3 linked regions of the Drosophila melanogaster genome follow. The protein of the gene in region 2 purifies or fractionates together with the protein of the main gene of each other region. This does not show direct contact. Each region holds a gene or a part of one and is shown on either strand. Other genes may lie near its edges. The genes, in order: Gdi, Rab7 and Vps13.

Region 1 (7,212 bases), on a different chromosome or scaffold from region 2:
TCAACAAACAGTTAAAAGTTGTTGTTTGCTCTCTGTCTTTCTCTCTCCGTCTCTCAACTGCAATTAGCAAACGAGTAACGTCAACTACCGTTGAACTCAATTGAATAGAAGACGAAAGGGAAGGGAGGTTGATGAAGAAATACCCAAAGACACCGTACAGTGGGTAAAAATAAAACAAAAAAAGGTCTTACAAATTAAATTTACAACACGAAATTAGAGTAACCGCTCCTCTTTGCCCCTTACAACGAATAAAATGCAGAGCAATAAAAAGAACGGCTTGGTGGAATTTTAAATATGTCACAGGTAAGAGAAATTATTTTTTCCCGCCAGGTAAGCAACGGAAATTTTTAACAGCTGCTAGCATCCACCGAATTGCTGATCGGCAACCATGTTTCCAATTTAGTCTCAACATTTCAGTTTAAATCAGCATGCAAAACATCTATGTATAAAACTCAGTATTTATTTTATAATGGCGGCAGATATTTATTCTTATTGATTCTACGTTCTATGTTTAATAGACACCATTTTGAAATTTAGAAAAGTTGTGAAACGTGATGTTAAATTCGAATTCAATTTTACCGTCTTAAGAAAGATGTTATGTCTCTAAAATATACCCTTAATATATGATTTTAGATGTATTATATTTTTAACCATGAGTGCCAAGGAAAACTAATTTTTAGCTCAAAATAGATTTTTACAATGTGGGGGTCGGTTTCACACCGACCTCGCATTTCACTTGCATTTTCTAGTCCCACTGTGCGCAGTGAGGCCAAGCATCTTTACTGCATTACAGTGCAAACGAATCCAAAGCCGCAGAAAAACAAAAAGCAAAGTTAAAACCGCGACTGTTTGAATCTATTTGCCTTTTATCAAATGCCGGTAAGACAAAGAGAGAGAGAGATAGAAGGGGAAAGAGGATGGAGAAGCCAGAACGATCGGAGGCTGTGTGAATGAGTGAGCGAGATGGATGCGAGCAGGTAAAAAACCCGTCGTATATTTTGGGAGGATGGGGGCCGAGGGCGGTGGGCGGGGCAGTTGGTCTGCAACGCCTAACTGGTTCTTGGCAACCAACTTGTTTTTTCTGTAGATTGCCGCCGTCTGTGCTTTATTATGTTTTTTCCCTCCGACTTTATGCCTGTGCAATTTTTAATATGGCAACTTGATTTAAACGAAAAACTTACCCAATAAAATCGTAGACGTGGATTTATGCTTGTTTTTCGATCAATTCAATTGCCTGCGGTTATTTTATCCTTGCCTTCGTGGGGGTTTTGTTTTATATTTTTTGTTTGAAACTATTTTTACACGGGGATGAAAACAACTTTTCAGCATGGCAACAATACAAAAATGTTGCAGCACATTCAAAGCAACAACAAGAACAACAGGGAGGTAACATATGATAACCGAGGTCAGGCGGAAAGTGTGAGCGGGACAGGAGATTATCTTTTTGTTTTCTATTTTGTATGTTTCCTCAGCGAAGGAATTACAATAAATAATTATTTCCCAAAGACTTTATTTCACTTGGAGCACAGCATAAAAAATCCCTGAGCCGCTCACTTTTTCACTTCCTTTTGTTGGGGTTTTCGTCTTTTTTTTCGAACTTATTTTTTGCCACGAACTCGAGGTTTGGTTTGTTGTTGTTGCTAAGAATTTCAATACAATTATGGCCCAAATAGCATTTTCACTTTTCCACACAAGCACGCAGCCACCGCACGCACACACACTCACACAAGTACACAGTTGTTTGGCTCCGTTTTAAATGAAAATATAATCAAACATTTACATTGCCGTGTGTTTTTGCTCCACGAAAATGTATGATTATGTATGATTAGTTTTCCTTGCTCGCTGCACGCGCGAAAATCCGACGAAACAAAGAAACAAGAAACGACGCGAAGAGAACGTAACAACCTAAATAAACCCGATACAAAAATCGCGTCCGAATCGGCTCGTCGTTTCAACCAAAATCACCAGTAAAACTTTGCAGAGGCTTCGGGATGATGTGGCCAGACTCGCTAACTGTGCTAACAGCTGTAAGAAGAATGCCCCTAGTTTCGGAATAAATGTCTATCGTGTCTCCGATAATAAATGTACGCAAATGTTGGTTTTCTTGAAATTATTACATACATTGAAAAGTCTAATTGCTTATATTGTATTCTCTTTAAAATAAAAAGTAATGAACGAATGCGTGAGATATGATATAAATAGAGATCTCCAGTAACTTAAAACTCGATAGGTAAACAGCGTTCAAATACTGTTTACAATAATTGCTGAATATCTTTTTATATTTTATATGATCGATCTGTGAATCCTCCGTTTTGTTATTTTATAATGTCTTGCTTTATGCAAGACCAACACATGCATTTAACAAATTTAAATTGCAACTATAAATTTGCGCGCGCGACATGCAGCCCTGAAATGTCAATAATCTAGGAAATAAACTTTTGCAAAATCATAATCAATTCAAAAATCTTGCACACACGTCTCTAAATCTTTCGTACATTAATGCTCTGTGTGCAAATTAAATATCTTATATGCTTGTTTGGTTATTTCCTTATTTCCATGTACAATTAGCAGCCGATAGCAACTCTTTCTCATGCAGCCCTGGGCATGTACGAAAACGTAACGTAACGTGACCAGCAAACGGCGTGACGGCAAACGGGCAGCGCAAAGCGGACGAGCGAAAGGCGAACGAGTAGAGAAAAATTATTGAGCGCAGAGAAAAGTCCACCAAATCGAACGTCGCAGCAAGTGAAAAGGGCGAAAACCGGATAAAAAAAATATATAAATTACTGTGATTGCAATATATAAATAAGTGCGATCCAATATGAATGAGGAATACGATGCGATTGTGCTAGGAACGGGCCTCAAGGAGTGCATCCTCAGCGGGATGCTGTCCGTGTCCGGCAAGAAGGTTTTGCATATTGATCGAAACAAGTACTACGGCGGCGAGTCCGCCTCGATAACGCCGCTGGAGGAGCTCTTCCAGCGCTACGGACTGGAGCCGCCCGGCGAACGATTTGGGCGTGGCCGCGACTGGAACGTGGACCTGATCCCCAAGTTCCTGATGGCCAATGGCCAGCTGGTCAAGCTGCTGATCCACACGGGCGTCACCCGCTATCTGGAGTTCAAGTCCATCGAGGGCAGCTACGTTTACAAGGGCGGCAAGATAGCCAAGGTGCCGGTGGACCAAAAGGAGGCCCTGGCATCCGATCTCATGGGTTCGTTAATAATGCTCTTTTAAGTCCCGTTGCCTTTTTGCTTGGCGGTGAGCCCCCCACGAAAAATTGTGCAAATTACCAGCTGTGCTTGTGTGTGTGCGTGGTTGTATGTATGTATTTTCGTACTCGACTGTTATCTGCTTCCCCTCTCTCGCCCGCACCACTCTCTTTCTCTTCTCTTCTTTGTCTGCCTTTTCACTCGCTGGCAAAGCTCTTGTTGTTGTTATTCCCTTTTTTTTAATGTGACACGTATGTGTGTGCCGAAAAACAGTTGTTTTCTTCGCTCGCCAAAGAATTTCTACCAAAGTTTCCCCCACACATATCCATTTCCACACCATGTTTGTTGGCCCAACTATTATCGCCCTATTCCGATTGGAGTCGAAATTTTAATCGCTCTGCGCTGATTCATACACCTGCCGCTAATTGGTCGCCTCCATTTTACACCTGAATTTCGCTTTGTTTGAAATTTAAGTTTTTCCCTCTTCTTCGTGGCAGCAATGCAATTAGCTAAAACACGCTCTATTTATTTATGATTGGCTCTTGAATTTTTCCATTTCAATTTTTACTTAGTTTTTGCAACCAGGTTTTTGGCCAGGCGCATTGAACCCCCTTCACTTTACAGTGGAGATTGCCTATAAACGAAAACATTTCATGACTTTAGATGTACTACATTTTTTAATTTTTGTCTTTAATTATCAATAATTTGCATATAAAATAGAAATTTTCAATGAAAATGTGACTATTAGGTAGATTTTACTTCCGTTTGTAACAATACCTATTGGATGTCTCAATTTGCTAATTGAAAGTTAAACACCTTGTCCATGCTTCACTGTGTCCGCATTACACATATGCTCGGAATGACGTCATGGGGTGGCCAAGTGGTTTCTGATTGTTGGTGGTGTGTCCTCCGCCCCCTAAATTGAAGGTTTCCCACTGTAGTTGCGTGCTGTTGTCCCAGTGAGTGTCTGTATGTGAGTGTTTGTGGCATGCAAATGAAATGGAAACGGGAAACTTGAAACCCTCGGGCTCGTGCACTCCCTTTATATGCAGATCCTGAACCCCAAACTGACCAATATGGCATTATGGATATACATATATAAATGTGACTTTACTTGCAGGTATGTTCGAGAAGCGTCGCTTCCGGAACTTCCTCATCTACGTGCAGGATTTCCGAGAAGATGACCCCAAGACCTGGAAGGACTTTGACCCCACCAAGGCCAACATGCAGGGTCTGTACGACAAGTTCGGACTGGACAAGAACACGCAGGACTTCACCGGCCACGCCCTGGCCCTTTTCCGCGACGATGAGTATCTGAACGAGCCGGCCGTGAACACCATCCGGCGGATTAAGCTCTACTCCGATTCGCTGGCGCGTTACGGCAAGTCGCCCTACCTTTATCCCATGTACGGCCTGGGTGAGCTGCCCCAGGGATTCGCACGTCTGTCGGCCATCTACGGCGGCACCTACATGCTTGACAAGCCCATCGACGAGATTGTCCTCGGCGAGGGCGGCAAGGTGGTGGGAGTGCGCTCCGGCGAAGAGGTCGCCAAGTGCAAGCAGGTCTACTGCGATCCCAGCTACGTGCCCGAGAAGGTGAGATTCACAAAAGATTTGTGTAAACTAGCCTATTAGTCTTTTGGAAATAACCATGTATTACATTTCTTTTATGTGACAGGTGCGCAAGCGTGGCAAGGTGATTCGCTGCATTTGCATTCTGGACCATCCGGTGGCCAGCACCAAGGATGGTCTCTCCACGCAGATTATCATTCCACAAAAGCAGGTCGGCCGCAAGTCGGACATCTATGTGTCGCTTGTGAGCTCCACTCATCAGGTGGCCGCCAAGGGTTGGTTCGTGGGCATGGTCTCGACCACCGTTGAGACCGAGAACCCGGAGGTGGAGATCAAGCCTGGCTTGGACTTGCTGGAGCCGATCGCACAAAAGTTTGTAACCATTTCGGACTATTTGGAGCCGATCGATGATGGATCCGAGTCTCAAATCTTTATTTCGGAGTCTTACGATGCGACCACGCACTTTGAGACTACTTGCCTGGATGTGTTGAACATATTCAAGCGGGGCACTGGCGAGACGTTCGACTTCTCCAAGATCAAGCACGAGTTGGGTGACGAGGAGCAGTAAACGGGAATGAAGGCCTCATCTGGTTATGGTGCATTTGGACAGCTCAACATCAGCCACAAACATCGTAGATCGTCTCAGCGTCGTGGCCAAACCTTAAAAAAAAAAATACCCAAGATAAGAAAACCCAAAATAAAAGCCCAAAAAAACTAAAGAAAACCGAAAATCCAGAAATTGTATTACGAAAATGCTTTCCATCGAGAGATGAAGTTTTAGATGTGAAACGAATTGCTTGCTTCGCGCAATATTGGATATGCCTAGAAAATATATATATATATATACCAATATAACATAAATTATACAACATGCAGTCGCGTATATATGTACGTCTATATAAATGTATAACTAAGTGAGTGTTAGGCAACTAAATCAAATTCCACAGATTCAGCTTGTGACTCGAGCAAAAGCGCTAGACTCGACAAACACTCTCCCATTTCGCCGATAGGCCAGTCAGTCAGACGATTACGCTTGGACTTTAGTTGTACGAGTATATAATAAAGTATATATATATATATAAAATATGACATCGTATATATATATTATCTATGTATATTGCCCTTCTGCTTGGTTTTTCTTTCTTTTTTTTTTTTGTGATCCACCCAATTTGTGTGGCTGCCAAGGCTCCAAACGAAAGCATAACACATACCTATAAACACGACACAAACTCTTACACATGCATAGTGCAGCATTATAATTGTAATTGTAATCCCCAGAAAGAAATCGATGGTATTGAAAATGTAAAACAGTCGAAAAAGTTCATCGCAGCATATACCCAAAAATAATGCAATTGATCGAAGCGCGGCAAACGACATATAAAGAGAACAGAACCTAAGAAGTTTGTCAATGGTATAGAGAACTATGGTATTCCGCATTTTCAGAATTTACATTTTTAATAAAAATTAAAAAAATATAAACATTTTTTTTTTTATTTACTATTTTTATATTGAGGGATGTTATGTTTGCTTTCCTTTCCCCAAAAGTCTGGTTTCTTTTCGGATTAAGGAATCTTGTCCTGGAGTTTTTCCACCGACTCATTTTATTGAACGTTTTCAGTTTCCGGTTCCGTTCAAAATGTCACTTGAGTTTTATAGCTACCAGCTTTTTATATGTCCTGGAGCTTTTCACCTTTCACACAGACTCATTTAATTTGAGATTTTTAGTTCTGGTTCCAGCCAAAGTGGCACTGAGTTTTGACGTCTTCAGCTTTTGTAACAGCCAAATGGCGGCAGATTTAAACTACATCAGTATGCACTGCAGTCCACGTAGTGACGAAGCGCACCATAAGTGTGTGCCAAGGCGGCTACTATATACACACAGAGAAATGAAAATCTGCTGTTTGACAGATCCTGGAAGAATATGGAAAGGATTTAGACGTATTCTTTGAGGTGACTTAGGATGGTCTGGTCTGTAAAGGAAATGGAAGGGATCTGGCCTAATTCTGGGTGGGATCAAGGAGGTATCTGTGTGGTGTCTTGTTAGGAAGGGGGACCTCTTAGTATAGAGACTCGGTTGTAAATAAAAATCTTTTCCAGACTCGCCATCCAAAAGTGACGACGACAGTCCGGGCGTTTCAGAGTTTGTTAGCTTTTCGCCGGATTTGAATCACGCAGCCATAGGGTTATAGTTATGACCAGGACTCCTCGTTGCCTCTTTATGTGACACAATTACGAATTCCGCAGCAAGTGTTTGGGATGCATTTGAAATACTTGCCCCCTTCCCCTCACCCTACTCACTCCGCACAAATCACCCCTTATGGCCGTGGTAAGTGGGAAATTCTTATTGAATTGCATGTGGCATGCCACACGAGTCGAAGGCTAGTTCGCTCACTTTGGGGTCCTCGTTCTTCGTCCTGCATCCTGTCG
Region 2 (5,604 bases):
CCGGCCTTTAAAAGTTCCTTGACTTTTTTGCAGTCCAAAGGACCTACATGCAACTGACACGCAGCAGGTCCTGGCATATGCTTCCGGGTCAGTTCAAACAAATACTGAGCACTAAATAGTTCACCATTAAGGGTATACTCCTGGTCGATTGCATCCTTGAGGAGATCATCTGCCGTGGGACTGCCACCAAGCAACATGCTGAGGGCCACTAAGCCACAAGTAGGTCCCACCTTCGGTGCACATACATATGTTATCGAATAACAAACTGAGAAATCTTTATTGTTTTCTAACTCACCTGCACTATGCTGTTTACGGAGTAGTATTGACAGTGTTTCGGTGGTGTATATTGGCAGACGCGACTTAAATAGCATCCTTTCTGCACCTCAGGATACTCACATGCCCAAGTGCACTCATCGGTGGTTATATTGTCCCCAACTGGACGTTCCTTTGTGGTAGCAGGTGTGCTAGGAGTGACTATCATGGGTGGTGGGGGAGGAGGTGGTGCCACACTTGAAATATTCGACATGGTATTTAGTTAAATAAATAGACTAAGCGAGTTAACAGACAATAGCCACAGCTGTTTTCGCAGACAAATATTAACAGGGCTGAGTTATCGATAAGCGATATTCTGTGTTCACCTGGTTGCATCTGTTCTACAGTGGGCACAAAGTAAATTAAGCCCACATAAAAATATCAAAATAAGCTTATTTGACTTTTATTGTAAATTGTTCAAGTTTATTCTTTAAATTAAACCAAAGAGCATGAGAATTCATAAAATGAATCTTTGGAAAAAAATAAATTCGAAATATACACAATTTACATATATGTATTACCAAAAACAAGGAGCAATTTTACATGGAATACTATTCATAGTTATAGGATATATCGAGTAACGTTATAACTAAACCAAATTCACGCTCGAATGTTATGCATAAAGAAGTTTTGTGGAGCTCAGCCAATTACAATAGAGTAGCCAATTCGATGGTGCAGGAAATTATGTCTGTAAATTACATTTAAAAAGTTATTCTTTTATTAAATTTACAATCACAAGATTTTTTGTTTGTTTAGAAGATACTCTGATGTTGTATTCTCAATGTTGCTGTTCTGTTGCAAAAGCCAGCAGCGGTTGCGTGCAAAATTTGACTAATACAATGGCAAAAATAGTACTAGGGAGATAGGCGGGCGGTCGGTCAGAAACATGAATTATTAAATACGAGTACACAGAGCATACTTATTCATTGAACGGTTACTTAGGTCGTAGGAAAGTGGGTATACTGGTTAAGCCTTTGCCAGAGGCTCGTTAAGACTCAGCTGATGTTGATCTGAATCTGAACTTTGCATCCTATCAGTTAATTAATTACTATGCTGTTTTGCTGAAATTGTTTTACTTAATCATATAACACCTTCCTCTATCGTCCTTTGTGTTGCTTGCTTCTCATGTTCATTATTATGTTGGAAATATTATTTAATAATATAGATTGTGTAATTATCCATTTTGCGTTGTTGTTACATTAGCACTGACAGTTGTCAGGATTGCCAGGACGATTGTTTTGCGAGCCCAAGGTAATCTGATCGGGGAAATCGTTGATAACTTCAGCCTGTGTGAAAGTACAAAGTTCGATTTAGTATGGAAAACAATATTTAAATAGGATTTCTTACCTCCGCCTCCAACTCTAACGCATTCTTGGCTATAACTTGAAACGCCATCTCCACGTTGATGCCCTCCTTGGCGGACGTTTCGTAGTAGGGTATATCGTTCTTAGATTGGCACCATTGCTGCGCTCGACGCGTGGACACCTGGCGGTTGTCCAAATCCACCTTATTGCCCAACACAACGAAGGGGAAGTGATCGGGATCCCGTGGACTGGCCTGTATGAGGAACTCGTCGCGCCAGGAGTCGAGATTCTTGAACGAGTTGGGCGCCGTCACATCGTAGACAAGCACGCAGCAGTCGGCTCCGCGGTAAAACGCCACTCCAAGCGACTGGAAGCGTTCCTGACCAGCAGTGTCCCAGATCTGTTATTGAAATTTTGCGAGTTATGTCACTGAAATAGGATTACTGGAAGTTCATAGTGCTTACCTGCATTGTGACCACTCGGTCGTTGACCACCACCTCTTTCGTGCAGAAATCAGCTCCGATCGTGGCTTTGTATTGGTTGGAGAAGCGTTTGTTTACATACTGATTCATCAGAGAGGTCTTGCCCACACTGCTGTCGCCCAGAATGATGACTTTCAGTAGGGATTTCTTACGTCCGGACATTTCGATGCAGTTTGTGGCGTTGGCTTACTCGGGGTTATTTCTTTTGGTATTTGGTGCTGAAAACCACAGAATATTATTGATTGTGTGTTAAAAATACCATTGCGGTTTCCTCTAATTCGATTAGGAAGTGTAGGGGTGTGATGGTTTCTTTCCTAAGATAAATGAAAGTGAACTGCGCAAACCTCTAGAGTCTAAACTACATGCCAATGAAAGCCGTAATCTCTGCCAGGACCTGACTGCCTAAGTGCTCGAAGTGCAAGCCATTCGCAGCTGTAAAATGTTTGTAATGACGAGCAGTTGTGCTACGCCGTGCTGGGTGATAAACAAATCGGGTGAGTCACTCTGAGCAATCCGCAGTGTGTGATCGCTGGACTGTGTGAACAGGCGGTCAGTAGGGGAGGGAGGTGCCCGCATCGAGGCGATAAAGCGTGATCACTATTGGCGCAGCGGAGAAAGTGCGCTGAGTACAGACAAAGACGAGGTCGAGCTAATAAAGCGGGTCTGGAATACCAGGAAAAGTGCCTGGGAAAACGCCCATTTCCTCAAAGTCCTCGATGGCAGGGGGAGTCACTATGGTGCAATCGAAAATAGTGCGAAAGTGGACTCTCCAAAGGGAGATAAACTCCCCGCCCCCCTTTTTTAGACCATGAACAACTTGTTTTTGTGCTCCACCATTACAACTACGCCACTAATTGCGTCGGTGTGCGTGGGTCTTTGTTGTGTACGTTTTTCGAGTGTGCGTGTGTATGTTTGATGTGGGGCTCCACTGGCATTTTCCATGCACTTTTCGCCTGCTGCGTAACACTCTTTTTAACGCTTTGCTTTTGCTATTCGCCTAATTCCTTTTGTAGTGGCACTCACTTTGAACACTGGTGAACACTCCAAGAGCTGTTTCTTTGTGGGGCGCTTCGGTTTTACTAAAAAATATTCAATTAATTACGCAGTGAATTTTGTTGTTGTCTCGCTAGGAGAATCGCTCTCATCTCTACTGGTCAGTACTGGTTATCGATAGTGCAGTCGTGTTACAGCTATCGGTAGAAGTTGACTATCTTTAGGCTGTCGTTAGCCAACACTTTTTTGTGGCCAATTAACGAATTGTATCCTATTTTTGTTGAAATTATCACTGAAAAATATTGAACAGCCAGGAAAAACCAAAAGCTGCTAAACGGTGGTCACCTGGGCTTACATAGGAGGCTATAATCGAAATGGCCACGCTTCCGCCGCGTAAGAGTCAGACCCCTACGAGGATCTGCATCTCTAAGCAGCATCTGACGCCGCTCCAAACATTGCTCCAAATGGGGTTTCCCAGGCATAGAGCGTGAGTTTTCTATGCATAGCGTATTGGCAGTCACCAGCTGCTCTAGGTTCCATCCAAGATATAGTGGCTATGCGTGCGAGTGACCCACTATGTTGATTTGTTTCATAGAATCAGAGTATTGATTTTTTTGCTTACCCCTACACAGGGAGAAAGCTTTGGCTTCAACTGGTAATCGTGGTGTCCAGATTGCCTCGGATTGGTTGCTGGCACATGTCAACGATGGCACCCTGGACGAGTGCGCCCCCAGGGAATATATTATATATGCTTGTCCCACGGGTCCGTTTCTGCAGCAGCTGGAGGAGTTCTGGGCCAAGTCGCGCCAAATGTGCGGTTGGAATGGAGCACACAACTACGTGCCTCACATAACCCTGGTTTCGTTTTTTAAAGTGAGCTTAAGTTGGATTATCCAGACTTTATTTATTCACCTAATCGAAATTACAGGCCCCCGATGAGTGCTCGCTGCAGCTGTCCAAGGCGCTCAAACAGGTGGTGGACATGACGGGCGCCTTGTTGGATCGCCCCCTTAAACTGGAGCCCTACATGAGTCAAAACTTCATGGGTTTTTTCGTGGCCGAGGAGGATGCCAACTATCTGAAACGACTGGCCCTGCAGTACGTGAAGGAGGTGTCCAACTCAAGTACGAATTATCCTTCTGTTGGTTGCACTCTCTTTGGGTTGTTTTGGTTTACCTTTCTCACGTTCTGTTCGATTCGGTTGATGGTTTTCCATTTTTCGGAGTGGCTTACACGGTTATGTTGTTCTCCTCTCTTCCTGCACACTTCTGGATAATCTGGGATATGCTGCACAGTCATTAGCGATACCTATGAGCAGTTGGACGCCATTGTGGCCTGCTTTCCCTGGTGCGGTGCTGTCTCCTCGGGCACCCGCTGCATTCCGCGCAGCAGTCGATGTAAGCCATTAGCTAGAGCCATTAGTTTGCATAAAATCGTTTTTGATTCACCCAAAAGTACACTTTCTTATCACTCTATGCATGCTTTAGTTGCACTGGTAGATAAGTTACTAATCTAATCGCCCTTTTGGCGAAATTCAACATGACGCTGCTAATTGTAGTTAATTAGTAGTAACTGTAGATAGCAAGGTGATCGATGTTTTTGGTAGCTACATAGTTAATTTGTTTATACCCCGTTTCATTTGTTTGAAAAATATTTCAGTTTATTATTAAAACCGATTAGTGTCACTATATATACAAAAAATCTTTGATTATTAGAAGACCAGAACTGTAGTTGATAAGCCCGTGACGTTTGGTTTTGCCCAAAGATAACTTTAAGTGACTATAATTCCTTATCGAAAAACATCGATTCACCGTGTTAGATACGAAAGCATATAACCAGCACCGCCTTCATTTCCATTCAGTAATCGTTTGTTCCGCCTAGCGAAAGGCTACTAATAGCTTCTAACTACCTGTAGCCATCTCACTCGAGCCACACGTTAAGAGCCTGCACCTGACGCTTGCCTACCAGTTCCCGCAGGCACAGTTTAATGCACTGAAAGCACTCGTGGAGACCTTAGACGCCAGCTGCGCTTCCAATTGGGAACTTCGTCTATATTCCCGCGATCCTCGGCTCGCCACCAAACAAGTTAGAGCTCCTTATAATCGATCGAGGATGAGTTATAATTTTATCTTGTACTTTTCAGGTTCAAAAGGTAGTTTATCCACACAACCCGCACGAGACGGATGAACTGGAGCTCCGAATCGGCGATTACATCTATTTGAATACCGAGGTAGTAGACAGTTCCAGTGACGGTTGGGCCGAAGGCATATCTTGGTTGACCGGAAGCACCGGTCATTTGCCCGTCAATTACACCGAACGCACCGCAGAATCGGACGCCTGGACCCTGCATCGTGTGGTCCAGCTCTCCAAGAGCGTAGCTTCATCATTAACTTCCGCCGAGGACTTGGACATTGTGGACGGACGCAGTATATCAACGGAGCCCGACGATCGTCAGAGTGAGTCGTATTTTGAATACAGTGATCCTGGATTAAGTTAGTTACATTGCCTCTCTC
Region 3 (6,020 bases), on a different chromosome or scaffold from region 2:
TTCTTGGCTCCGCCGCCCCATCCCCAACCACTGAACCAGCCCGACTTTTGTTCAGGCACTGCCTCTCGTTGCTTGGCTATCTCGATGTTGACCCTCTGCCGGATTAGCAGCAAGTTAAAAACGTCCAGCTCCGTTTCTAGCAAACGGCAGGTTTCCGTAAGCACGGCTGACGGTTTTTTGCTTAAGCACTGCTCCTTGTATTTCTAAAACGTAAAATGTGCACTGTGGATACTGTAGTTTCTTTAGTTAAGACATTCCACACACCTGTGCATAAGTGTTGCAGCGTTCTCTGTGGGTCTTGATGTGTCCCCAAGTCCAGCTCTCTCTGGGTTTCCTTACTTCCTCCTCTAGAATAGAAGTTATTGCAAAGTGCCACCAGTCCCTGGCGTGGCCTTTGTATGCTAAAAAAAATAATACATCAATTTATGGTTAATAACTACTGAAAAAAATCAGAGTCTGATCAATACTTACGTATATTGTAGGGACGATATTTCCGGTACGGTATGCCCAACTGCTGGCGGTTCATAGCGTCTCCAAGCTTCATGAGATTGTCGAACTGTGTGTTTGTCAAGCCGACATTAAGCTTTTCCATTTCCAGCGTAAGATCGATTTTAGGTTTTTCAAATGGCGGATCATCGAGCTCCGGGTTCATGTTTAGCTTTAGCTTGGCATTGCAAGAGATAGGACCCAGCACTATAACCGCAAGGAAACGTTTTAGGTGTTTCTCGTACAGAATTATAAAATATTACCATAGTTGTAGTTGGGTTTTGTTTCCTTGCAAGCAATATTCGTCTTGAACTGCTGTGAAAGGTCGCTCTTGTTGTTCGCGTACAGTTGTCCACCACAGTTCAAATAGGCGGAAAGACATGAGAGATTCGCTATTTTGAAGACCTGCGACGCCTGCTGGGCCATGTAGCACTTCTCCCAGTCGCAATCGGTGGTGTAAAGTTCGAGCTCATGCAGGGATATGCCGAAGGAGAAGGGACTACCCGTCGTTGTGGTATCCTCGTATCGCAGATGAACGTTGGTTATCTGCACCTGCAGATTGTTAACGATCTGCGCCGTTAGCTTTTCGGCAAATCCTGCATCTGCTTTGGGCTGATCTGTGAATGAGTATAATATATATATATATATTTCGATTCATTCAAAGAATGGAAAAGAAGATTCGCTTACCCATTTCCAACTCCTTTTTGCGAGCTGCCTCCAGGGCATCAAGCGCCGCCTTCTTGAGGTCCATCTCATATTTGGCCTCCTTTTCGGCGTTGTACTGGACATTGTTGTTGGGTGAAACTAAGACATAAAGATCCTCAATGTTGACAATTACCGGCTGGCTGTACAAATTCTTCCAGGGGATCTTAAGCACTAGTTTGCCTGCAAATTTATTAAATTCACAGTGTATGAGTATCCAATTCAGTTGGAAACTAATGCTTTACATACCCAAGTAACCATAGATAAGCTGTACGGGCAGGTCCAACTCGTCCAGGGCATTCTCCCGTATCTTGAGGTTCTGCAAGACGACATCGCCTGCCAAACAAAGACAGAATTTGCTTTCATTAGTCTTATCAGTCGCAGTAATCAGTCATTTGCAAAAGTGGGAGCGAATGCCTATTAATTAATTACGGGTTAATTACATAGGGAGAGCGCTATAGCTACATTTATATATGACTAAGGCTTTGCAAAGTGTTAAGTACGCAAATGGAAAAAGCAGCGGGCGCACCAATATGTCAATACTGTTTACCAATGTCTGGCATTTTGGGCATGCGGCATTTATAGTTGTTAAGTGTTTGTTATGCTTGGAATGCAAAATGGGCAGCACAATTGGTGAATATACTATACATTGAATTACGCTTGTGTGTCAATAGTTTAACGACCAAGCGACCCCATTAAAGTTATCCAACATTTGAGGCCAGTCGAATCGCACTGATAGGAACATGTTTGGCCTTACTTTACAAACTTCATATCTGGCCAATAATCATAATTCTGCAAGTGGTGTTCAATTATCGACATTAAATACAAGAGTATTAATTATAAGTTACTCTGATAACAGTGTTGTAACAACTGATTAAATTAGATTGCTTCAATAAACAAGAAGAGTTATTCACCTGATTGCATTTTACAATATATGTACATATAACACGCTTGACTTGTAAATTGCAAAATGAAAACAAATATGAATCATTGGGCAAATAATATAATATAAATAATATACCCTGCATAGAAGCAATATATACACACATATTCCATTGACTTAACTAGGTCATTTTTGATTAGTTAAGCTAATCAGTTTTATTCAAAATATTTAGGTATTGTAGAGAAAATATCATTTTATAGCATATATTCATTCATTTCTAACGAAGCATAAGCCCGGTCTTTCTTACTTCAAGCATATTTGAATGAAATACTCTTATATAAGTTTAAAACAAAATGCTAATTAACATGAATTTATGAACGCAAGGCATTATGTCACCAAGTTCAAGATCAGCCGAATTAAAACAGGCTTGTCGCCGAACGTCACTCTTTGAACAAACCCGTTTACTGGGTTTGTCGCAAACTTGTCTTCGTGAAGTGGAATTTACAACCCACTTAACATGAAGTGAAGTGAGTACATTCAGATAAAAGACCGAAGAATTGTTTATGTTTCACACAGAAACCCTATACAAGTAGATTTGTAAATAAAAGATATAAAGGCAGAGACTAAATGAGCTCATGGAGAGCCAAGAGAAACCACAAGAATTGCTCTATCGCACAGCAAGATGCAACAGTTGTCCCACCCCTCGAAGTCTGAATGCTCCTCCGTCTTTTCTCTTTCTCAGAAGAATTCATTGGGTTCGCATGAACTTGCGAATACGGCTCACTTAGAAGCGACGAAATTAGGTCATTAATAGTATTTTGCCAAGGATAAGGTCACCGCCATCATTGTTTTTTCTGGGCACTTGCGTGCAAATAGACCAATAAACAATGGGTACCGCAGTAAGGCGATGTTTTTGCGTGAGGGTGGAGCAGAATGGTGTCATCCTCTCCGGGGAACTGGAACTCACCTCCCCAAATGCCAATCTTCAGCTGGTTCCGGTCCAAGTTCTCGATGTAGTCGCCGAGCACCTTGTTCAGCACATCGGCCACCACCGCCTCGAAGACCATTGTGTCCTAGCAGATGCTCCTATTGATTTTCCTCCAAGTTTGTGGTTGTTATTCCAATTGATGTGGTCGTGGTGAGTGCTTCAAACAATCTGGCGTTCGCTGTGCGGTCTATAGTTGATCTAAAATACATGCATATGTAAACACAGAAACCAAACAGATGGAACGGAGAGACGGATTAAAACACAATGTCGATGATGTCATCGTTGAACGCATTTCAAATATTTTGGCACAATCCGCCAGGCCCATTGTTCCAAAATAAACTAACAAGCCAAACGATTGTCCAGGGTCAGCTGGAGTAGGGCTGGTGCGATTAACTCACTACTCCACTCCAGAGCACGTGTGCAACGCCCGTTCTTATCTCTATTTACTGCACCCAATTACCAGCGGCATTTCCACGCGACAAAAAAGTAGTAACTCCGTGCGATGCGCGTTCTTTAAATGCTCGCCCGAAACTAACAGCTGTTGTGTTTTCCGTTTGCGTTCTCCACCTGGGGACGCTCAATCAGCTGTTCGGTCGCGTTCCCGGGCGAATGGCAAACTGTTAGGTGACGTGTTTGACCGTGCGAATTGCTGAGCTATAGGAAAAATATTTATAAAACACCATGCAAACACGTCTTGTTTTGCTGCTGCTAGCTCTGACCCCGCTCGTCCTGGCCAAGAAGTTCAAGGAGGAGGAGAAACCGGCGTGGGCCAAAAAGGATATACGCGACTACAGCGAGGCGGACCTCGAGCGTCTGCTAGATCAATGGGAGGTAGGTAACAACACTGCGATTGGAAAGCGACACATCGGACCCAACTCTCCAGATTCGCACCTAGCAAGGGAGTAATGCCAACCCTTTAGATTCCCACCTATCTAAGGATTCATCATTTGTAGAGACGGATAACTGATACCCCTTCTTTTAATCTTCTCTTAGGAAGATGAAGAGCCCCTCGAGGATGATGAGCTGCCCGAGCACCTGCGCCCCCAGCCCAAGCTGGACCTGAGCAATCTGGACAGCAAGAGCCCCGAGGACCTGCTCAAGGTGTCCAAAAAGGGGCGCACGCTGATGACCTTCGTTTCGGTGACCGGTAATCCAACCCGGGAGGAGAGCGACACCATCACCAAGCTCTGGCAGACAAGCCTCTGGAACAACCACATCCAGGCGGAGCGCTACATGGTTGACGATAACCGCGCCATCTTCCTCTTCAAGGACGGCACACAAGCCTGGGACGCCAAGGACTTCCTCATCGAGCAGGAACGCTGCAAGGGCGTAACCATCGAGAACAAGGAGTACCCAGGTGTCAATGCGAAAAAGGACGAACTGTAGGCCGGTTCCACGGCATACCAGCACATCAAAACATTCTCACTATTTAAGATCAAAGTTCAATTAAAATAAAACAAATTTATTAAACAAACTTATTAAAGAAGCTACATATGTATTTTGCTTGGCCATTCACAGGGAAACGGCTCCGTTTGCGGGATGGAATAAATATGGATAAAAATATGAATATTTCAATAAACATATTTTGAATATAATATTTGTATCTCTATTAGATTGTTTATATACACTGCGTATGTGTCAAATCAAAAACAAAATAAATGAAAAATTTAAGCAAAACTCTAAATTAATCGCTGACCAACTACACAACTCACGGTGCCATCGGCAAAGTTATCGTATCGCCTTTCAAATGTTTCGAGCTCCAGCTCCCCTCTGTGTGACCTTAAGTCAACAAGACGCCACCCGCGAACCGCGACGTGCTCTACTTGCTCCGCCTGTTGAGTAGCTGTTCCACCAAGAAGATGCCCGTCCAAGCCAAGATCGGTCCCAGCATTCTCAATGCGGATCTCTCCAACCTAGCGGCGGAGTCACAGAAACTACTGGACAATGGAGCGGACTACCTGCATCTGGACGTGATGGACGGCACTTTTGTGCCGAATCTCACCTTTGGTCACCCCATGGTCAAGAGCTTGCGCAACAAGATCAAGGTAAGTCTGCAGTCATCTGAGCCAGATATTCAATTACCTATGCCACAACCCCATATAGACGGCCTTTTTCGAGACGCACATGATGGTCCAGAATCCGGAGCAGTGGATAGAGCCCATGGCCGATGCCGGTGTCAATCTCTACACCTTCCACGTCGAACCGGTGCAGGATGTCGTCAGAGTCAGTCGCCGAGTGCAGGAGTCGGGCATGAAGGTGGGCCTGGCCATTAAGCCGGGCACCGAGGTAGGTTGAGGTTAGGGTTATATCACTTTTGATACTTGATACCTCCTATGTATGTTGTATAGCCACAGCTTGTTGCTTATTTGTTTGAAATTATTTATAGATTTGATATTTCCACTAGATCTTGTCCCAAGCTAGGTCTGAAGTTCCTTACAATTTTGAAAATATCCAACGAGTAACCACCTGTTGCACTTACCTTTTAGGTACAAGATCTGGAGAAGTACTTGAGCATTGCCGACGTTGTGCTGGTGATGACCGTGGAACCCGGTTTTGGCGGACAATCCTTCATGGCCGATATGATGCCGAAGGTCAAGTGGCTGCGCGAAAACTACCCCAACCTGGACATCGAGGTGGACGGAGGTGTGGGACCCAAGACTATACACTGCTGTGCCGAGGCCGGAGCCAACATGATCGTCTCGGGAACCGCCGTGGTGGGCGCCTCCGATCAGTCGCAGGTCATCAAGGAGTTGCGCGATGTGGTGCACAGCTACCTCAAATAGAGATTCATTTACCAGCTAGCTTAAGAAAGAATTTTTTAGATAGGCGAAATGTTTTGACCAAATTGCATTGCAAGTAATGGGGAAAATTCCTCGGGAAATGGTACCATTAAAAGAAACTTACAACCGTATGTGGTTTTATACATTTATTTTTTAACATTTATATAATATATGTTTGTAG

The links.
Region 1: the proteins of Rab7 (region 2) and Gdi purify together in Drosophila melanogaster (affinity purification with mass spectrometry; 2 studies listed by BioGRID). This does not show direct contact.
Region 3: the proteins of Rab7 (region 2) and Vps13 purify together in Drosophila melanogaster (affinity purification with western blotting; one study listed by BioGRID). This does not show direct contact.

Annotation. Positions count from the first base shown.
Region 1 is NT_033779.5:9,490,225-9,497,436, reverse strand, and holds Gdi (GDP dissociation inhibitor), read left to right. Parts: upstream 1-2,560; 5' UTR 2,561-2,821; coding exon 2,822-3,215; intron 3,216-4,333; coding exon 4,334-4,809; intron 4,810-4,891; coding exon 4,892-5,353; 3' UTR 5,354-6,261; downstream 6,262-7,212.
Region 2 is NT_033777.3:23,990,658-23,996,261, reverse strand, and holds Rab7 (Rab7), read right to left. Parts: upstream 3,255-5,604; 5' UTR 3,122-3,254; intron 3,084-3,121; exon of another isoform or gene 2,986-3,083; intron 2,530-2,985; exon of another isoform or gene 2,443-2,529; intron 2,317-2,442; 5' UTR 2,261-2,316; coding exon 2,081-2,260; intron 2,017-2,080; coding exon 1,660-2,016; intron 1,599-1,659; coding exon 1,512-1,598; 3' UTR 810-1,511; downstream 1-809. Other genes in the region: CG33108 (uncharacterized protein), read right to left, coding at 1-230, 296-526; Epp (ecdysteroid phosphate phosphatase), read left to right, coding at 3,466-3,578, 3,724-3,964, 4,020-4,215, 4,387-4,488, 5,007-5,176, 5,235-5,547. UniProt on the Drosophila melanogaster protein: Small GTPase which cycles between active GTP-bound and inactive GDP-bound states. In its active state, binds to a variety of effector proteins playing a key role in the regulation of endo-lysosomal trafficking.
Region 3 is NT_033778.4:7,564,383-7,570,402, reverse strand, and holds the start of Vps13 (vacuolar protein sorting 13), read right to left. Parts: upstream 3,595-6,020; 5' UTR 3,520-3,594; exon of another isoform or gene 3,404-3,519; intron 3,258-3,403; 5' UTR 3,139-3,257; coding exon 3,039-3,138; intron 1,525-3,038; coding exon 1,438-1,524; intron 1,372-1,437; coding exon 1,174-1,371; intron 1,104-1,173; coding exon 750-1,103; intron 694-749; coding exon 472-693; intron 402-471; coding exon 265-401; intron 204-264; coding exon 1-203. Other genes in the region: boca, read left to right, coding at 3,741-3,890, 4,053-4,445; Rpe (Ribulose-5-phosphate-3-epimerase), read left to right, coding at 4,919-5,104, 5,163-5,345, 5,546-5,842.